2 linked regions of the Caenorhabditis elegans genome follow. The protein of the gene in region 2 interacts with the protein of the main gene of each other region in a pairwise test. Each region holds a gene or a part of one and is shown on either strand. Other genes may lie near its edges.

The links.
Region 1: the proteins of rgs-7 (region 2) and lmn-1 interact in a two-hybrid assay, tested with the Caenorhabditis elegans proteins (2 studies listed by BioGRID).

The regions. Positions count from the first base shown.
Region 1 is NC_003279.8:8,761,147-8,765,070, reverse strand, and holds the start of lmn-1 (Lamin-1), read right to left. Parts: upstream 2,031-3,924; 5' UTR 2,016-2,030; coding exon 1,918-2,015; intron 1,829-1,917; coding exon 1,744-1,828; intron 1,696-1,743; coding exon 1,582-1,695; intron 1,427-1,581; coding exon 1,193-1,426; intron 1,141-1,192; coding exon 100-1,140; intron 16-99; coding exon 1-15. UniProt on the Caenorhabditis elegans protein: Major component of the nuclear lamina, a fibrous layer on the nucleoplasmic side of the inner nuclear membrane. Provides a framework for the nuclear envelope and probably also interacts with chromatin.
Region 2 is NC_003284.9:3,540,783-3,544,706, reverse strand, and holds the start of rgs-7 (C2 domain-containing protein), read right to left. Parts: upstream 2,160-3,924; 5' UTR 2,077-2,159; coding exon 2,034-2,076; intron 1,956-2,033; coding exon 1,841-1,955; intron 1-1,840. UniProt on the Caenorhabditis elegans protein: Inhibits signal transduction by increasing the GTPase activity of G protein alpha subunit egl-30 (G-alpha(q)), thereby driving it into its inactive GDP-bound form.

The sequences.
Region 1 (3,924 bases), on a different chromosome or scaffold from region 2:
ATCTCCAATTGGCCACTGAAAATTGTAATTACAATGAACATTTTTTGTTTCTTCTATTCATGAAAGTAAGACAGAAATATTTTAAAATAATTGACCAACCTGTTGCTTCTTCATAACGTAGACTTCTGGTGGGTGGTGAACGGCACCAGCATCCGCAGACCAAACGGTGGCGCTAGCATGTGGAGCGAGCTTCATACGAGATGAAAATTGGAAGGAGGCTTCTTTGTTTCCAGCTTTGACCACCAACTTGTATCCTCCGATGGATTGTTCTTCTTCAGAGTTGTTTGCAACACGGACCCACTTTCCTTCCTCATCAACCTCGTCGATTCCAACTGGGCCAACAGTCTCTTTGTTGAGTTTGGAGCGACGGTTGAGATAATCAATGTCTTGGTCCTCTCCATTTACATCGACAACGCGACGACGCTTCACTCCGCGCTGAGCGCTTGCTCCTCCGGATGAAAACGAGACGTGATGAACTGAAGTGTTTTGTGGCGCCTCCTGAGTAAGATTGAGACGCTCCTCCTCACCCTCAAGGAGAGCTTGGTAGGTCTTGAGTTCGGCGTCCAATTGGATTTTAACATCAAGAAGATCGTGGAACTCGCTCATCATGCGCTCGATCTCTTGATTAAGTTCAGCAATTCGAGCATCCTTGTCGTCGAGCTTCTCTTGGAACGATCTCTTCAGAGTGTCGAGCTCTGAACGAAGACGTTCGATGAGCGAAGCATTTCCACTGCTTGATGTCTCCAAGTCACGAACACGGGCACGAAGATGGATTGCTTCGGATACAGCCTCCTCTTGGCGTTCACGAGCAGCATTGAGCTTGTTTTTGTAGGCATCTTCGAAAGCTGTTTTGTTTTGATGCAAATTGTTCTTGAACTGAGCACGCATCTCTTCGATTTGATCTTGAAGCTTAGATTGATACTCATCATTAATCTGCTTGGCGTAGGTTGTCATGTCGACCTGTCTCTTGTGACGAACTTCTTCAAGTTCTCCCTTGTGCTGTTGAAGAGCAAAAGCGAGATCTTCTTCCAGAGCCTTGATTTTATTGTTGGCGGCTGTTCGGAGAAGAGTTTCATCTTCAACGGCTTTCTTGAGTCCTTCTACGGTGTCACGAAGAGTGATGTTCTGCTTTTTGAGATCCTGAAAACAACAAAATTGAACATTTACTTTTGATAAAATTAAAATTTCTTACATCATTCTCCACCACCAATTTATCGTTGCGTGCCTGCAACGTCTTCTGTTTTGCTTGACTTTGATCAGCAATAGATTGGGCATGGAGGGCTTGTTCCTCAGCTCCAGCGAGTTCTCTCTCAAGTTTTTCGACTTGTGGCTTCAACTTCTTTACTTCAACCTTTGCAGCGTCATACTCGATCCTGTATTTTGCGAGCTCATCTTGAGCCGAATCGAGGGCACGACGGAGACGAGCCTGAAAATACAAATAATCTATATTCCAACACTTATCATTCGTCCAAAACGAGAGCTTATATTTGCATTGTTACTTTACCGCGGCGAGAATAATAAGACCACCGCATCAGTTTCCCACAGAACACCTTTGGCGATCAGAATATAAACAAAGTGTACCTTTTCCGCCTCGAAGCGATCGGCCAAGTTTGACTTCTCTTTCTTTTCAACAACTTCGATGTCGCGAATTTGAACCTGGAGTCTGTTGTTCTCTTGCTCCAATTGACGAACTTTCTGAAAAGTGTACTTTCAAATATGAATACTTTCCAAATTAAAACTCACGTCGATGTAAGTGGCAAGACGACTGTTGAGTGAAGTCAAATGATCTTTCTCTTGAAGACGTGAAGTTTCTAGAAGCGTTGAGCCACTGAAAAGCATTTCATCGAGTTTTTTTTTAGATAACACAAGAAATGCGTTTATGAGTGCAGGAACTAGAGAAGCAAAATAAAAACTCACAATGAATCGTCGCCTCCTCCATTGTTGCTTAGCGACGAATTCGCTGAGCGCTCTAGCGTAACAATACGAGAACTACGAGTACCTTTACGAGATGACATTTTTCTCGCTGCTTTCTGAAGAGTTAATTATATTGGATTTAGTTTCAGAAATAGACAAAGAGAGATGTAAGAGAAGAGAGGAAACGTCATAGGCGCCACACGAACGTGACTCAACATTTTGATATTTCTTGTGATAAAATTTTTATACAACAAAAGTTTTCTGTCTCAAAAGAAGTGTGGCAAACATGCGGACACGGCCGTTGTGTATACCACTTCGGAAAGCGTGTGTTTGTCGAAAAATCTGGCGCTGTTAGGTTATTTGCGAGTTACGGCGCGCCAAGTGACCTCAAAATCGGCAGATGGCAGTATTCCACATAGATGTGTGTTGTTTCGTTTTTTAAATGTTTCAACAGAAAGAAATATAGTAGAGAAATAAGGAACATTTGTGAGAGTGACGTAAACAAAAGCATAAACATAGTCAGTAAGTAGCGTTGAATTCAAACATTAGGCAACTCGGCAAAGAACTACAATTGTCAAGGTATACTCAACTAAGATTTACCTCGTTTCAATAGTTTTTTGAAACTCTCGTGAATAAGAATGCTTTAGCAGGGCGTTATCACCTCGCCTTCAAAAATCATCTGCGCACTTCCACAAATTGCCGATAGAACTAGGCAGATGGGACTGAAATGATTAGAGAAAAAGAGAGAAAAGGGAATTTCTCGCATACTTGTTTGGTTTTGATTGACCGTCCATGTCGCGTCAATTTGAAAGTAACAAAATTTCGAAAATTTAGGGAGAATTTCGAAATTCGATCAATCAAAACTTTCGGACTACTACAAAAGAGAAATGACCTGATAAACTATAAGATAGGATATCAAATTACACAAATTAGTGTAAAAAAGTTGCATGAGAGGTGATATGTAGGAGTTTCGAGGGTTCAAAAACGATGAAAAACGCTCGATCTTGTTTCGAAGGGCAATGGCCCAGGCCAATGCTCTCTCTTTAGTCGCGCGAGTGAGCGCTGCGTACCCCTTCATCTCTGATCTCTCCCGTTTCGCGCACTATTTTCAAGTTTTTCTTTCGTTTTTTATGCTCACGGTCCCAATGACTAGAGAAGTAGAGAAGCAGGAAAGACGTGTGCATATGGTAAACAACATACATATACACAACTTGGCAACATGCCAGTACAGGGTTAAATAGAACGAATAATGGAGAGGCATGATGAGAGTATTAGAGAAGTGGTCAAACATCTGAAATTTTGAGGTTTTGCCGCTTTTTTATATGGATAGTGTAAATTTTGAAACTCGGCGATTAACAATAAACATGTACCATTGAAAGACATATTCAGAGCCAGATGAAGGAAGCGAGAAATCATAAGCAGTCTTGTGTGAGAGAAGACAATGTCGTTCTTCTTTGGTGTTTGACACAGAATGAATGAATTCTAGAGAAGGAGGCTGAGAAGAGAAGGAAACAACATCTGGAAAGAGCACTAGAGCGTCGACGCACAGAGACAAAGGGCAATAAATCAATGGGAGAGTGTCATTTTGGCGCGTTGACAGTTTTTATCTCATTTGATGTGACCATGTGGTAGAATATTAGTATAGCACGAAAATTAGAAGCTAAATTTCTATTATGAAGGCGAGATTAGCCGCGAGAGAGAAGTTTGGTGAAATGAAAAGAATACGAAATGAAAGAGTAGGAAAACAATTTTCTCTAGACACCTGCATCTCTAAAACACATTTGATCCCTAAAAAGATTGAAATGAAAAAACAAGAGAATCGATTAAATGTGAGAGGAACTTGGGCAAAACATGTCTCTTGGTAATATGCAGATTAACAATTGAGTATATAAAATTAGGGCTGTACAACCGGACGTCCGGTCGTCCGAACCGGACGCACATGCGTCCGGTTGGGGGTAGCTATCCACGACGGCCGACAATTTCCGAGTTTCGCCACTCACTATAAAATTG
Region 2 (3,924 bases):
AATATTTCAAAAAAGTTGGCCAACTGCAAAACGTTTCCCTAAAAAATTTGATATTTTTATGAACGTTTTAGAGTATTTATGATGTTTGGTTATAAAACTATTCACAACATTTTAAAGTTACATATATATGCCGGATTATCAAAATTCTGAATTATTGTTACGTAGTTTTTCACTTTAAGCACTACAAAACACTGTTTTGCTTATCAACCTGGAAGTCTCTAGGCAGCGTCGAGTCTAGGCGTCATCTGGTGATGATGATGTACAAATTATTATAACACACATCAATGCAGAGCATCAAATGTGATACGCAACAAGTTTTTGCGCAAGTTTTAGTGCCCCTGACGTTCCAGCAGCCACGGGGGTAGAGGGCTATTCGTGGCGTTGCGCAACTGAAAATCAAACCACGGTAACTCGACATCCAACGTAATTTGCAATTATGCGAACATACTCAAAACTATACATATTACTGGGGAAATGTCGGATGGGCAAAGTAAAAATTTTGTAAGAGAAATTTTAGAAACATTTAATTATTAGTATAAAAATTCAAAACTCATAGTATCAGAAAATGACAGAGATATCGGTGACCAATTAGAATGTTAAGAACAGAAACTAAAACAGAAACCTCTAAATCATAAAACGTCTACAGAAAATACAGGATATTTTGGTTTTCTTCGATTGGTCACATTAACGGAACGGTTGTCGTAAATCTTGTGGAAATTATAGAGGGACTCGTTTAATAATCACCTATGCTATTGTAGCCTTTAACAATCGATCGATTGCCGGAAATCCAAAACTTGTGCGTTCATGACATTGTATACACGCCAAACAAGAAAAACTTTGAGAGAAGTTCAATTGATTCACTTGAAAAGGCGCGGATATTTTTAAGCAAACATTTGACGACGAAAATGGGCATTTAAGTGGATGAATCAGGTCAGTGATACCGACTCAAATACTACTACGCGTTTCTGTCATTTCAAATGTGAAAATAAATGTTCTTATTGGGCGCAAAAATTTAATTTTTTTTTGCATATTTGAAGAAAAGTGTCTAAGGGTACTTTCTACATTCTTCACAAAATCAATGTTGTTAATTTTTGCTTCTTTTGATCATTCGAACCAGATTTGATATAATTGAGAATGTTCGGATTGTCAAATCACTATTGTCCTTTCTTTCTTCCTTTCTAACTCTAGTATTTTACGGTCAGCGTAACAGAGCAGCCGACTGGGATGGGGCAATGCGTTCGTTCGTACACCAGAGGCTAACCAGTATGTAGTGTGCATGGTCAACACATACATGCCTCGTTTGTTTGAACCGAGGTGTACAATAGAGCGCATTTAATTGAACTGTCTCCCATTAGGAAAAAATCAGCAATTGGACTAATCAAACTTGTACTAATGCAACTTTTAAAATTGATGAATTAAATAAAAATTTCAGAGGATGAAAATTTGAAAAGAATCTTCTATGGTCTATTAGTTTTGGTAGTTTTCGATTTCGAGGAATTTTAGATTTAAAAGGGAAATTAAAAAATTACTCAAAAAATACACTTTCTGAGAACGACCAAATATGAACTGGGATCCGGGCAAAGCAACAGTATACTGAACTATGAAGCAAAAACCTATCAAGCGAAAAATAAATAAAATAGTTCTGAAAAGTGACAGAAACCAATTGTGCGGAAATTTGTGAAACGTATTCGAAATTCGTTTGAGAAAATTTTTAGGATAGCAAACTTGTCACGTTTTTTGAAACTTTTCTCTCGTGATTTTAAAATACGTTTTATAATTTTCAGCACATTTTTTCAAAAGTATCTAATATCAACTTTTGAAAACATTTAAAAGAACTCACCTTCCCCACAGCATCTCGTCAGTTGTAGCTTCCGAAGGTCCAGTGGATTCAGTCGTGTCCTGATAGCTTTCCGACTCGGAGCCTGAGAAGTCGTCGTCGTCCGACACTGACGATACTGGAAAAAATCAGATATATAGTCATAATAACAATAGCAAACATCTGGAGCATTCAGGTTTGCAACAAAGCAACTTACTCGATGATTGATCGTCATACTCGTCTGCATCCTCGTCTGACATCTTGTCAATGCTGTACTGCTGGACTCCGGCCGTTTTATATTTGTGTAGATTGAGCTTGATTCTTCGATTTTGACTTTCCATCTGAGTGAAACTATACTAATTGGAACAGCAATAGAAGGAGAATTGAGAGAGAAAAATGATTCATAAACGGCAACGAAGGAGAAAACGTTGTGTCATTTTAGGCTAGGGTTATACGGCTCAGCATAGAAACTAATCCATCTTATGTTATTGATTGACTGAAACACTATTTTATGTATGAGGAAATTTTACTTGTTCCGAAAAAGAATAAAAACAAACAATTTATTCTAAAACACTAAGAACTATAATACTTCAATTTTGTAGATTTCAAATGAAGTTAGCTATAAAAAACTTAATAGAAAAGTACCGTCTTTAAAAAAAGTTGAGTTAAATTTATCAAAATGTATGGCCTTTAACAGAAAAAAGAATTAATTACGAGAAAGTGCAAAATATGGATAACCAAATTAATTTTAAATAAATTTACCAGCCGTTGGAAAAGAGAAAACTTCGAAAAGCCCCAAGATTTTAGTCAGGAAATCATAGCTTTTTTTGAAATTCAGAACAATAAATTGTTTTCTAGTTTTAAAAAATATTATAAAATCGAATGTACTCTTTTAATGAAACAAAAAATATCCGGAACAAAAAACCATTTCCGAAAGAAATCCATGTAGTAAGGCAGAACTAAATAGCAAATGACCCGCAAGTTTATGAGATCAAATACAAGTGAAGGTGAAGGAAAGGAAGTTACAAGGAGTAGTTGACAAAATTTATGGTGCGAACAACCGCTACTCCGTTTGTCGGTGTCGATAGGTGGTTGCGTAATATTTAGGTTACAAATCGAAACCATAAAATCTTTACTGACAACATCTAGAGTTTACATTCTTAGAGACAGAAAAAATAGAAAAAAAAAGACTGAACTTATAACATTCGACTCACTGCCAGATGGTTTCAATGAAAAATATGGCCGAAAGTTTTAGATTTTTTGGTGATTTAGTGGTTGGGAAAAACGCAGAACTTTGCAGACGGAATATAAGTAATTTTGTATGATAATCTAATTGTCTAGGCTTACTGATAAGGAACCATTATGTTTTTTACTTGTAGATAATATGTGATTAATACTGTGCCAGATAACGTTCTACAGAACTACTTGTTTAGCGCATTCCCTAACCTAGACACCCAGTGAAACGTGACTAATAAGTTTTCAACTCTCGATTACTAGTTTTTCTGGCCTTGATCAGATGACGGAAATCCAATTATGGAAAATCAATAGTCCGTAAATAAACACACCTTAATGATAAGTAAATTTTACTAGTGACTCACTTGCAGATGAGGTCAATTTTATAACGAACAAAATTACATACGAAAAAACTAGTTTGAAACCTTGAAAAGCTAAGAAATTAGATAAAATAGCTTTTCAAATTTGAATGATGAGCGTTCCCGCCGGTGAACAATTCAAACGTGAGTAGAGAGAAGAGACACAGAACGGCGAGTGTTCGTCTGTGTCTTCCTTCTTTCCTGGCTGTCTCCTCTGACCGGCAATTGAGGAGAGGGGACCCATTTAGCGTTTGTATGTGTGTATGTGCGTCTTTCCCCCCTCAACACCTGCCATCGTGACCCACGATCGCGGACGCGATATTTATGGCCTTGGCAAATAGCTTGGAGACTTTCCTTTACTGTTGATTCAACTTTATTGATACTTCTTCAATTGTCTGACACCATCAGTCAAATTTAAGACAAATGAAAGACTGTTCAGGCAACTAAGCTACGATGAGCATTATTGAAAAAAAAAACAAATTGAAAATCAAGAAAGGGGATGTGGCCTAGTGACAT